Linked DNA regions of Caenorhabditis elegans. The protein of the gene in region 3 purifies or fractionates together with the protein of the main gene of each other region. This does not show direct contact. Each region holds a gene or a part of one and is shown on either strand. Other genes may lie near its edges. The genes, in order: C17H11.5, B0228.9 and comp-1.

Evidence for each region.
Region 1: the proteins of comp-1 (region 3) and C17H11.5 fractionate together in Caenorhabditis elegans (co-fractionation; one large-scale study listed by BioGRID). This does not show direct contact.
Region 2: the proteins of comp-1 (region 3) and B0228.9 fractionate together in Caenorhabditis elegans (co-fractionation; one large-scale study listed by BioGRID). This does not show direct contact.

The regions. Positions count from the first base shown.
Region 1 is NC_003284.9:8,183,073-8,186,829, forward strand, and holds the start of C17H11.5 (Phage protein), read right to left. Parts: upstream 2,062-3,757; 5' UTR 2,045-2,061; coding exon 1,960-2,044; intron 528-1,959; coding exon 365-527; intron 320-364; coding exon 248-319; intron 198-247; coding exon 32-197; 3' UTR 1-31. Other genes in the region: C17H11.6 (RBR-type E3 ubiquitin transferase), read right to left, coding at 2,565-2,898, 3,362-3,545.
Region 2 is NC_003280.10:7,761,712-7,765,468, forward strand, and holds B0228.9 (uncharacterized protein), read right to left. Parts: upstream 1,959-3,757; coding exon 1,704-1,958; intron 1,661-1,703; coding exon 1,413-1,660; intron 1,365-1,412; coding exon 1,240-1,364; intron 1,193-1,239; coding exon 1,140-1,192; intron 1,092-1,139; coding exon 975-1,091; intron 929-974; coding exon 673-928; intron 629-672; coding exon 351-628; downstream 1-350. Other genes in the region: srh-39 (Serpentine Receptor, class H), read right to left, coding at 2,226-2,407, 2,591-2,669, 2,728-2,955, 2,998-3,185, 3,438-3,583, 3,630-3,757.
Region 3 is NC_003279.8:6,429,954-6,433,710, forward strand, and holds the start of comp-1 (Protein kinase domain-containing protein), read right to left. Parts: upstream 1,634-3,757; 5' UTR 1,573-1,633; coding exon 1,440-1,572; intron 1,355-1,439; coding exon 1,237-1,354; intron 1,191-1,236; coding exon 1,109-1,190; intron 1,062-1,108; coding exon 918-1,061; intron 806-917; coding exon 704-805; intron 655-703; coding exon 563-654; intron 519-562; coding exon 434-518; intron 251-433; coding exon 90-250; intron 42-89; coding exon 1-41.

The DNA.
Region 1 (3,757 bases), on a different chromosome or scaffold from region 3:
GTAATGTGTTGAAATGTGTTTAAATGATCGTTTAGATTTCCTTTCGAATTAATGGAGCTCCATCAAAGCGCTTCTTGTTCTCGATTCCAAAGAGTAATCTGATAGCCCGGCAAATGAACCGTATTACTACGTTACATGGTCGATTATATTTTTCTCGTTTCATTCTATCGTACACTTTCATTGCGGCAATGGAAATTCTGAAAATGAACTAGAGTTCAGAAAACAATAGTTCAAAATGTTAGGTGACCTCTGGTAGTCGAGCCAATACTTGATGGTCATGTAATCATATCTACAGGTTTCCATTGCAACCGAAAATTCTCTGAAAACTAAGAATATGAAATAACGATACGGCATTGCAATTCACATAATAGCACCATCATCGTTTTCCGGGCATACCGGAGGAACTCCAACCCAGTCGTTCAATTTATTTCGTGGTATGGGACCTGGCGGAGCTTCACCGTTCATCAGTTTGTTGAGAGTGTACTGATCAGGAAAGACGTATGTCTCGGCTGGATGGTGACTGCAGACTGAACCAGAAAAACTATGTATTAAAGAAAGTATTTCAAATGTATTTTTCTAATATCACAAATACTAGCATACAGAGAAATCTCATATATCTGATGTTTCAAATTCCTCTAGGTTTCGAATTGAGAGATTTTTCTTTAAAAAATTTGGACCGACCTAAAAATGTCGAAAATTTTTAGGTAGACTCAATAAAAACTTAAAATTGACTTTTGTTCTAAACTTCATTGAACTTCAAAAAATTTTTTAACTTTTTTATTAGGTCAAGGAAACTTTTGTTTTATTTTATCAGTTTTTTTCCACTTTTTGATCTCAAAACTCTGCCAACAAAACATTGTTTTCCGTTAAACCTCTTTGCGACATACTATTTCGGCTCTTTTGAAAAACAAATTATATTGTTCTTATATTGCACTTATTTTGTATCTAAAGGAAGCCTATCAATTGAAGGTTATTTGTCTTAAATTTTAGTTTTCGGCCATATTAGAAAGAATATGAGGGGAAGTTAAATAATTCGAGGAAGTACGAGAAAACTTGACTGATAAACGGAAAAAAGCCCGCATGGGGTGGGGCCTATTTTAGAACTTCGTGACGGTTGGCTATTTCCGCCCATTTTTTGGTTTGTTTTTTAAGTCTACGGTTGAAAAATTGAAAAATAAATTTAAATTGGCGGCAACGATACTACGCGCTGAATCCTGATCGACGCGAAGACACAAAACAGTAAAAATGTGTAATTTTCATTGATGGCCAATTCAGTGCGTTATATCGTTGCCGCCGATTTAAATTTATGTTTCAATTTTCTAACCGTTACATAGAAAATGAACAAAAAACTCATCATAAGGATAAATATGAATAAATAAATGAATAAATAAAATTCCTCCCATGTGGGCTTTTTTGCGTTTTTCGGTCAAATTTTCTTGAACTTCCTCGAATTTTTTTACAGTCTTTCAAATGTAATGTAGATAAATTATTTATTTTTGGATGAGAAAACATCATTTTTTATTGAAACTTGGAAAAAATGGACTGACCTCGTGAAAGAATTTTTTCAAGTATTTTCATTCCTTCTAATGGGGTTATTCAAGTAATGTCGGAAAATTAAAAAGTGTAGAAAAATTACGTCACAACTGTATTCAAGTATATAAAAACATGTATTTAAATACATTTGTGACGTCACAAATGTATTTAAATACATTTTGCTACATTACTTGAATAAGCCCATAAATTTCAAACGATTGCGATCATTATTCAAGTGTTTACAAATAACGTTTGCTTTGTACAAAAATATTGAAATTTCCAATAAAAATTATGAAAAAAAACATTTTGAAAAAGGTAGAATGTTTCATTTACTGTTTTTTTTTTGGAATTATAATTGATTTCGTTTTTTGAAAAATAGTTTTGAATGCAGAAAAACCACTTTTGTTCATGAATACTAAAACTTACAGCATGGTGCATCTAAATCGCACTCTTTTAGATGTCTCATAGCTATTTTTGCTTTTTCGGTCAGTAGTTTAACAAATCCAGTCATCGTTGCCTATACAGTCTGAAAACCTTGTAACATTGTTAAGAGAGAACTAAACAAAATTAAGTTTTCAATTAAAATCAATATATTTTACAAAAAAATATAGAGAACATTAAAAAATGAATGTAATGAAGAGATGATGACTTGTATTTGAATTTGGATTCCAATACTGTCAGACAAGAAAAATTGAAACAAGTGTAAACAGGTTAACATGAGAAATTGACGAGATTGACTTTGAAACACTTTTTGGCAATCACAACATAAACACACGTCGTGGCTAGCAGTAAAGAGGGAGAAAAAGTACTGTACGAAAAAAATACCGCATAGAGTTGTTGTTGATGTTTTTGTTATTGGACAATAAGGAGAAAATTTGGAATGGAAAAGATGGAAAAGATGGGGAAAGGGAGAAAATTGCAGGGTTATGAGAAGAAATGACTAGTTGAAGCACGTTGAGACAACTGGAAGGAACATAAATGACATAGAGTGATGTTTTTTATACAGAATGAAAAAAAAGAACGCGATGTTATTATTTCGTTTTGTTGAACCAATTACTGAATATTCCAAAACGTCGCTTCTTTTTTTTCTGACTTCTGGATGAAGAACTTGTCGACACACTGTCATCGCCAGCATTCTCACCGTTCGCCTCAAGTTCTGTCGGGCTACGTGGCGCGGCGACAGTAATTCCAGCCTCCGAAGGAGCGTTGCTCATATTTTGAACAATTTCTGGTTTCGACAAATTCGAGAGTCCCTGCCTGTTCACCGTGTTACCGGTGTTGAGGTTGACTGGGAACGTGGCTACTGTATGCACACTCTTCCCGCTTCCTGATCTTCGGAGCTTGCTACTTGGTCGCGTTGAAGGTCTAGAAACACTTTCAAATAATTTTAGACTAAAGAATGCAATAGCGGAGAAAAAAATGTTCAAGTTAAACATTTTTACTTATTTTCACCTTTGCTCTTGCTTTCACTAAATGTATTTTGAAGATGATGTACAAGAAAAGTACTGCAAATTAAATCGAAAAACGTTTTTTAAAAATATTACCTTTCCAAAATTCATTTACAGTGATCGCATTAAAAAATCAATATTACACTCCGCCTGTAGGTTTTTTTGCACATTTCAACATAAAATCTACTGAATTTCTGATATTTTTGTTTAAAATCCAAAAAAATCAATAGCTAAAATTCGTTTTAAAAAAACTGTTGCTTGAAATGATCGAAATTTGTGATTATAATACTTCATATTTCAGTATAACACTTTTTTCACAAACATCTTATTCTCGAAAACTTCCTCCTACAACATTTAACATTCAAATTTTCGCAACTCACTCATAAGGTGTCTCTTGAGGTGCGTCAGTGGCTACCATTTGCTTCATATTATCAAGCCAGCTACGAATTTTGAATAAATCGATGGGATCGATATTCACACTTCCAGAGCTGCGCATTGCAGGTGGTGAATTGATCAGCAACGCAGCACCTTCTTCGGTGAAAAGAAGCCCATCGTCGTCGCGCTCTTCAAAATTTGAAGGGGTTGGGTAAATAATTAGATTTGGTACACTTTATATATATTTTTCAATGCATTCTCATTTCAAGTTTGTTACGCGAACTCAACTGCGGCATTGCGATTTTATGTAGCTCACAAGAATAAAAAATTTCAATTTAACATAATTTTGTTAAAATAGAACAGAATGGCGGAACAACAAAAATTTTAATTAACTAGAAAAA
Region 2 (3,757 bases), on a different chromosome or scaffold from region 3:
TTTGAAAAACCGATTAATTTAATTTAATTTATTCATGTTGTGATGCTTGTCAGACTTAAAAATATGACGTCTCAAAACTATACGAATAAAACAGTTCATATCGGAAATAAAGGCATTTTTCAAATGACTGAAAGACTGATTTTGAGATTTTAGAATACGTCAGTTCTAAAACTTTTGAGGTTTTTCTAAAAGTACACATTTTCTAATTAAGCAATGTATTTTATGAAAACAAAAATCGCAGAAAAAATGTTTAGTACTTGATAACCAATTTTTAATCTGCCTTCTTTTTACTTCATTAATTTTTGGAATCTCTGAATATATTCCAACATTTATTAATAAAAAAAATTATGTCAACATTTAAGACGAACATTTAAAAGATTATCCATAAACTTTCTCTTTTTGCTCTCTTCACATTCAAAATACATTCGATTAATTTTCCAATGTCCATTTTTATTCTTGTATCCAACAAATCCCACATCCAACTCCTCTTGCTCCTGAATTTCATTTGCTCGACTGAGAAGAAACGTTGTTGAGAAATCAGCATGCACGAGGTTACGAATTCTAACTTCAGAGACTACACATTTTGCATACCTTGCAACCACTTTATTCATGTATTCACGGATTTTATCTGAATTTCTTGCATTTAAAAATAACTTTCAGTTGTCAGCAAACCATATTTCTGCTCTCTTTTTCCAACACAAGAGCCCCATTTAGTATCATTTGGATCAAATAGGTCCAAGAATGATTGATACACATCCCAATTTTCACCATCAATCATTCCACAAAATCTTTTATTCACTTCTCCCAGTATGACAGATCCATCTAGAACTGCAGGGTACTGTGTCACATCTACAGTGCATCTCTTTGTAACCCAGTAAATTTTCCATAGAAGGTACAAACGATCATTTTCCGGGAAATAATCTTCTGCCTGAAAATTCATGTATTAAAGTGTCGGAAAGCATTAATAAATTTACCTTTTTAACCCGGAAAATATATGTGTCCCGGAATTGTGTAGTATTGTCTGCTGTCCAAGTCGTAGAGAAAGTTATTTCAAAATCTTGATTATTTTTTACATGATCAAATTGATTGTTCTGAATAGTAATCTTAAATGAAAATTAAACTGAAAGTTGAAAATTTACCGAATATTTTCGAATATGATGATATCTAGTACTCATATATTTTATAAACTCATCTGCAAAATAAAGTGAACTTAATTATTTCGTTGTCTCTACAACGTACTTTTATCCATTTTTTGTTCATCACAAACTACAATAATCGCATCATCTGTTATCCAATCCCCAAATTCTTCAAAGTTTTGCAAAGTTTGATCAACTCCATCAGGTAAGAATAATCCGCTTGATAATCTAAAAATGTTCAGCTTTAAAATTTGAACTTTCAATACGAACGCTCACTTTGTTCGAACTCGTTCTAAATAGTTATCAACATCCTCCAACGGCTCTGATGGATCTTTTACAGGAAATACAGAACAATTGTAAGGAAACCAAATGTATTCAATCAAAAATTTATTCTGATTCCAATCCATTGAAGCTTCGTAGGTCCACTTCCCATCTGAGTTTTTCCTGTCTGAACCCATTGCTGTATACGTAAAAATTCCATTTATATAGTTTGGATGATCTGTCCATCTGTCCGATCTAACTTCCTGTAAAACCAATAATTCCATATAAATCTGAAACTATTCTTACAGTTAAATGTTGATAGTAACCAGAGATAAATGTCAATACATGTTGAAACTCTGGAACGGATAAGCTTCGGCCAGGCTCAAAACAAGTACATATTCGAATTTTTGAATGGAAATAGTTAGCTAAATCATCAAAATGTGCACGACTTCTTCCATCAAGAATGCCAACCATATCCTCTTGAAATCGTTTCATCATCATGTCAGAATTTGTTGGATCAGGTTTCCCTTGCTGAGTTGGTGGAGGTGTGACACTTTGCATAAAGGATCTTGTATTGTTTTGATCAATTGGATCAAACCAGTCCAAGTCATAATCATCGAATTCAAATGTTATAGCAAAATTAAAAGTGTGAATATAAGAATATTCATTTTAAACTGACAGGGAAATTGAAACGGAGCTTTTATGGAGCTCTCCTGATTCGATTAAAGTTTTTAATTTAAAATATAGGTTTAGATTTCGATTTGCAATATGAATTGAAGGAAAAGAATTGCATTTTTACAAATGAACATTAAAAAAATGGAATAAATATTACAGCCAGCTTGAGGAAACAGCCAAAACATTGAGGTTCGTACTACTTCTCCGCTTTTTGAATCTCTTCGGGAATAACCACATCTTGAATCTGTTACGAAAAGGGCGGTTGATTGCTATTGTTGAAATTGATGTTATCGATCCATGGAGACTGATAATTATTGTGGAAATATTTACCAAAACTGAAAATTTAGTCCTTCTCATCCAACGACTCATCTTACAATTAGAATGGTTCTTCGGGAAAATAGATTATTAAAAATGACGCAGCCAAACGGGACATAGAACTATGGTCTACCCTAACGAAGGATTCAGAAGTTCGGAAAGGTGTGATCATAAGTAAGTAAGTATCTGAAAGCTTTGCTTACCTTGGTTTCTATAAAGGAGTAGAAATGAGAAGAATGTATATCCCATTGGTAATATTATAACAGCAAGATGAGTTAACATCTGAAAATAAATTTTGATTGTCTAGTTTCTATTGACAAAAGAAAATGAAAAGTGTCACCTGTAGCCACGTCGTATAAAAGAATTTAAGTTGAAGTTTTCTCGTTGCTGAAGACATTTTACTTCTTTCAATTGAAAATAAAAAATAAAAACTAAATCCTGTGAAAAATATAACTTGAATAAGAATCACTAGAGAAAATAGTAAGACTGTAGTAATTAACATTGTATTTGAAACCGGCTTAAAGGAAAATGCAGTTGTGAAAAACTCCGGAATTGGACAGAGAAAGTACTAAAATTCTTGAATGATACTTTACAAAATGAGCGATCTTACATTGACGTAAGAATTTTTAGCCGAATTCTGATCTTCAAGTCTCAAAAATGAAGATATAAGTAGTGAAAAACTTATAACAAACATTATGCAATGGTATTCTCGTCTTTTATTCATTTTAAAACGAAAATATGGTGGACACATAGCATTGAAACGATTTTCAAAAATCATCACAACTGCCGAACCAAGACCTGAAAAGTCCTTAACGTTATAGATCATGGAGTTTAATTTTTGAAACAATTTTTCTACTTGTTTCACACTTGTTGCTGAAAAATGGAAATGAAAAATAGAAAAGAAATCTCGAAATTTGGCGCTATAGTTTCTTCACCAAACTTGACCCAAGAATATTATCTTAGATCAAAAATTGTCAAAACTCGGGCAAAACTTAGTTTTAGCTTTTTTCGGCAATATGCCGCAACTATTTTACTTAATTTTCAATTCACCTGCTATGATTATCACAAGCACTACCAGTTGAATTTCTGTTTTCAACCCAATTAAACTAAATAATCCAACTGGAAGCACTACCAGAGTTGGAATGAAAAAATAAGGAATTAATAGAAACGAATACATCAAATCCATAGCTCTTGTCCTGTGATTTGGAATTAAATTGGTTTGAAGTATTCAGATTTTCTTACCAAAATGCCAAGTTTATTAAACACCGTTTCATATCCTTCATTTGAGTTGGTGAATGATAAATCAAAAGATACATTGCGTAGCTTGTAGGGAAAAGTTCCAGAATAGTGAGAAAAAAACAGAAATTTCT
Region 3 (3,757 bases):
TCGAATCATAATCAACCATTGTCACAGTGTTATCCGATTTTCTGAAAAATTGTTTGGAATACTACGCAACTTTCAATTATATGACAAACCCTTCATAGAGCAATCCGCTAGCACCATTGAACACCAACTCATAGTTCATTGTTTTTTCATTTTTGTAGCCCAAAACATAAAAGTTATCCACTTTTGAAGCTCCATGATAGATATCAAAACGATGAAGCTCCGATAAGATACGGACAGCAGCAGAGCACAACTGAAAACGTCAAATTCAGTGGGTGTTTTATATTCAATAAATCACGACTATTCAAGAAATTCCTTCGAAATTAAAGATTTCAAGCCCCAGAAATTTGTCTTGACTTTTGAAGTATAACAACATAAGACTGTTTTTAAGAAGGTTCGAATTGTTATGTTTCGTCCTAATTCTGAAAAGTCAAACCTTGATTCTTTGTGCCAAATCCAAATGAGTATCAAAGTTCTTCAAGAAATCTTTCAATGAACATCCAACTTGATTTTCTTGATGCCTGTAATAAATTTATAATTTTCATCCTCTCATTAAATATCTCACTCATAAATCAATGTTGGTGGGTTGAGAATAGCTCCAATTGGAAGACGAATTGGAAGGTTTCTCGCTGCCAATGCTTTTCCCTCGACAAGATTCTGAACTTGATTTAATTTGGAAAATAGCTTTGAAAAGTTTTCAACAAACCTCATAGAACACTTTGAGGTCTGAAATAGTCGGGTTATGAAGTTCTTCGAACAATGCTTTCTTGATCTTTCCATCCGCAAACTTCATTTCTCCAGTATAAACCTTTAAATTAATGAAATTGAGAAAGCCGAGTTACCTGTCTCTCTAAAAAAATTGTCAAACTTTCAACTGTTTTTTTAAATTCGAGTCATATTCGAGTTTTCGATTTTCTCACCAAATGAAAGAAATCCTGCGATTGAATTTTCTTATCTTTGATTCTTTTTCCTGTCTTGCAAATGTTGTGCACATTTGTCGAAGAAAGTCCAAGAAGACGGTTCATTGAAATGTTCTCATCCAGTACACCACCAAGAATGTCGGTCTGAAACAGACATATTAAAAAACGTTCAACGAGACAAAAAAAATTACAAAGTCATTCTTGAGATGATAGACCAATTGTTCAAGTGTCTGAGAACGGGCAAACAACATTCCTTGAATAGCGTATTCATTTCTGAAACTATATTTTCAGCTTTTGTTATTTTTAATGTATTCCATACTCAGAATGATCAATACGAAGATGAATGGCACGAGAAGTTTCCTTTTTCATCTTATTATTTCCAGGAACAATTGAAAGATAATAGGCACCATCCAGTGATTTCGACATACTGAAGTCGCCTAAAAAGTTTTTAAATCGTTTTAAAATATTACTTTATAGTCTCAAAAACAACGTTTTGCAAATTTAACTATTTTCCTCACGAACCTGGATTTTTGAGCACAAAAGCTTCAATGAAAGTGATGGGAACATTGTTAAAAATGGCATCCTTAATATCGTCATCATTTTCCATCGACTTCTCCGTCATCTCAAAATCGTGTTTCGATTCGACCAACGTCATTGCTTTGATTCGATAGATGATCCTTGAGATCAAAATAGTGTTTTGCCAAATGTATGGAATAAATTATTTTGGAGACTCTGGATAGATTAACCTATGGTTTTTAATAATTGGGAAAGTACAGTTCACGTGTAATTATAATTGTTTTCACAATGAGTCATACATTGAATCATTCAATGAAAATATTATTTACAACTGCGTTGCGTATCTGCGCAGATTTCAAAAGTTAGGAATATTATTCCGTGTAAGAAGAATAATTTTTGCATTCTTTATTTTAAAACTGCTATTTCCGTTATAATTTATGTTTATTCAGACGACCAGACAGTAAAAAATAAAAAATAAAAAAAGTATAGTACAGAGTTAAAGCATATATTACGTATCTCATGAGTGCTTTTAAATATTAATTTTTAACAGGAAATCAATTGGTTCGTTTTAACTGGAGGTGTATACAAAACTACAATATATATATATATAATTTATGAAACAAATTTACAATTAAAATACAGAATCCCTTTCCTTATTGCACTTCACATCATCTGAAATAAGAAACACACTTTTCTTTCAAATGCCAAAATAACATTTTCTAGTTTTCCTTTAGTCGCCCTCTCCCGTCAGTTTTTCTCGTTTTTTTCCAGTACGACACATAAAATTTATGAGTTTACAAGCTCCTAGCGGTGCTTTCAAAAAGTGGTCCCTCTTGTTGAAATTCCTTTAAAGTAACAAAAAAGTATAATTCTCAGAGAATTTTGGTTGTGCAAAGTCTTTTTGGAAAGCTAGGCGAGGAACTGGGATTATTGAATTGCTCGTCCATTGGCTCGTTTTCCGTGTGGTGTGGTGTCCTTATTGTTTTGTTCATTTTAAGAAAAAATAGAAAGATTTATCATTTGTAGGGTTATCGCCATTCGTTTTTATTCTTCTCTTTTTTCTCAATTTTTTGTTGTTGTTGGATACTTTGAATTGTCTCAAGGGAAAAATTCAAAAGATTCAAAGATTTGAAAAAATGTTGATGAAAGAGGCTATTCTCGGAATATATCTTCACATGAATGACTACTTTTTTCAGTTGAAACTTCAAAAAAATAATCCAAGTGATTTGGGTAGCTCACTGGAGTATTTATTATAAGCGTATCTAGGCAAAGTTCCTACTGGCACTACTCTACCTTAAATTTTTTTTTTATTTCTGTAGAAATTTCAAAAAATTGCCAGCTTGCCGACTCTGGCGAGAACTAAGTCGGTAAGGCTCGGCAGGTGTTTTTTTGCTGAGTACTAAAATTTTGACTCCTATCCATGTTTCGTTCAAACCAGTCCCTCTTTTTTGTTGCAATGTTTGTATTGGCTCCGTGAGCACTAATTTCCTTTTTTTTAGTTTCAAATAAATCCAAAGGAGAGACAAACAACTATTTTCTAACCAAATTTCCCTTTTTTGCGTCTTTTTTGCATTCTCAAAGTGTCAATCCTATAAGATAAACGAGCAAACTTACATATTTCTATGACGTAACTTCTATCATATTTTTTATTTTTAGATAAATTATTCAACTTCCTAACTTCATCAAGAATGTTCTGGAACACATATTTGTAAAATCTCTTTTTGTTATTGTTTCCAAGTTGGTTTCCAAGAGCATTTGATAATATTTAATCACTTCTAATTTATGATTTGTAAACTTTGATCAAGATGTTTTTAGTTTTCCAAAAAAAAAAGTATTTTCTCAAATAACACACATAGCAAATTTCGTCTAGGATGTGCAAGTGCCAATAACACAAGTTAAATGTGTAAATCTACAATTTTATGGTATGACTTTTATGGTAACTGAGCAGATGACATGGTCCAATCAAGGCCGCCTCTTTATTCGCCCTCCTCGTTCCCGCTAAATACCTTGTGCCTACGTCACGTCTCTGTAAAATGCAAAGCTAAAGTTTGAGCAATTATTTTTATTGTTAATTTGAAAATAATTTTATCTTTAATATGATCCTATCTGGGAAGACTTTATTAATTCAGAAACCAGTGTATGGGCTTGATTAGGTTATCCCATACATTTAAGAAAAATGAAAAAAAAAACATTAAACATTTTATATGTATTTATTTCAGTGTGTTATCCAATTTCGAAGTTTGTAAAACTTATCCAGATGCGGTTTTATTTAGATCTTTTACAATTTTGAAGAATGTTGGTAAACATTCTGGAGATTTTCAGCT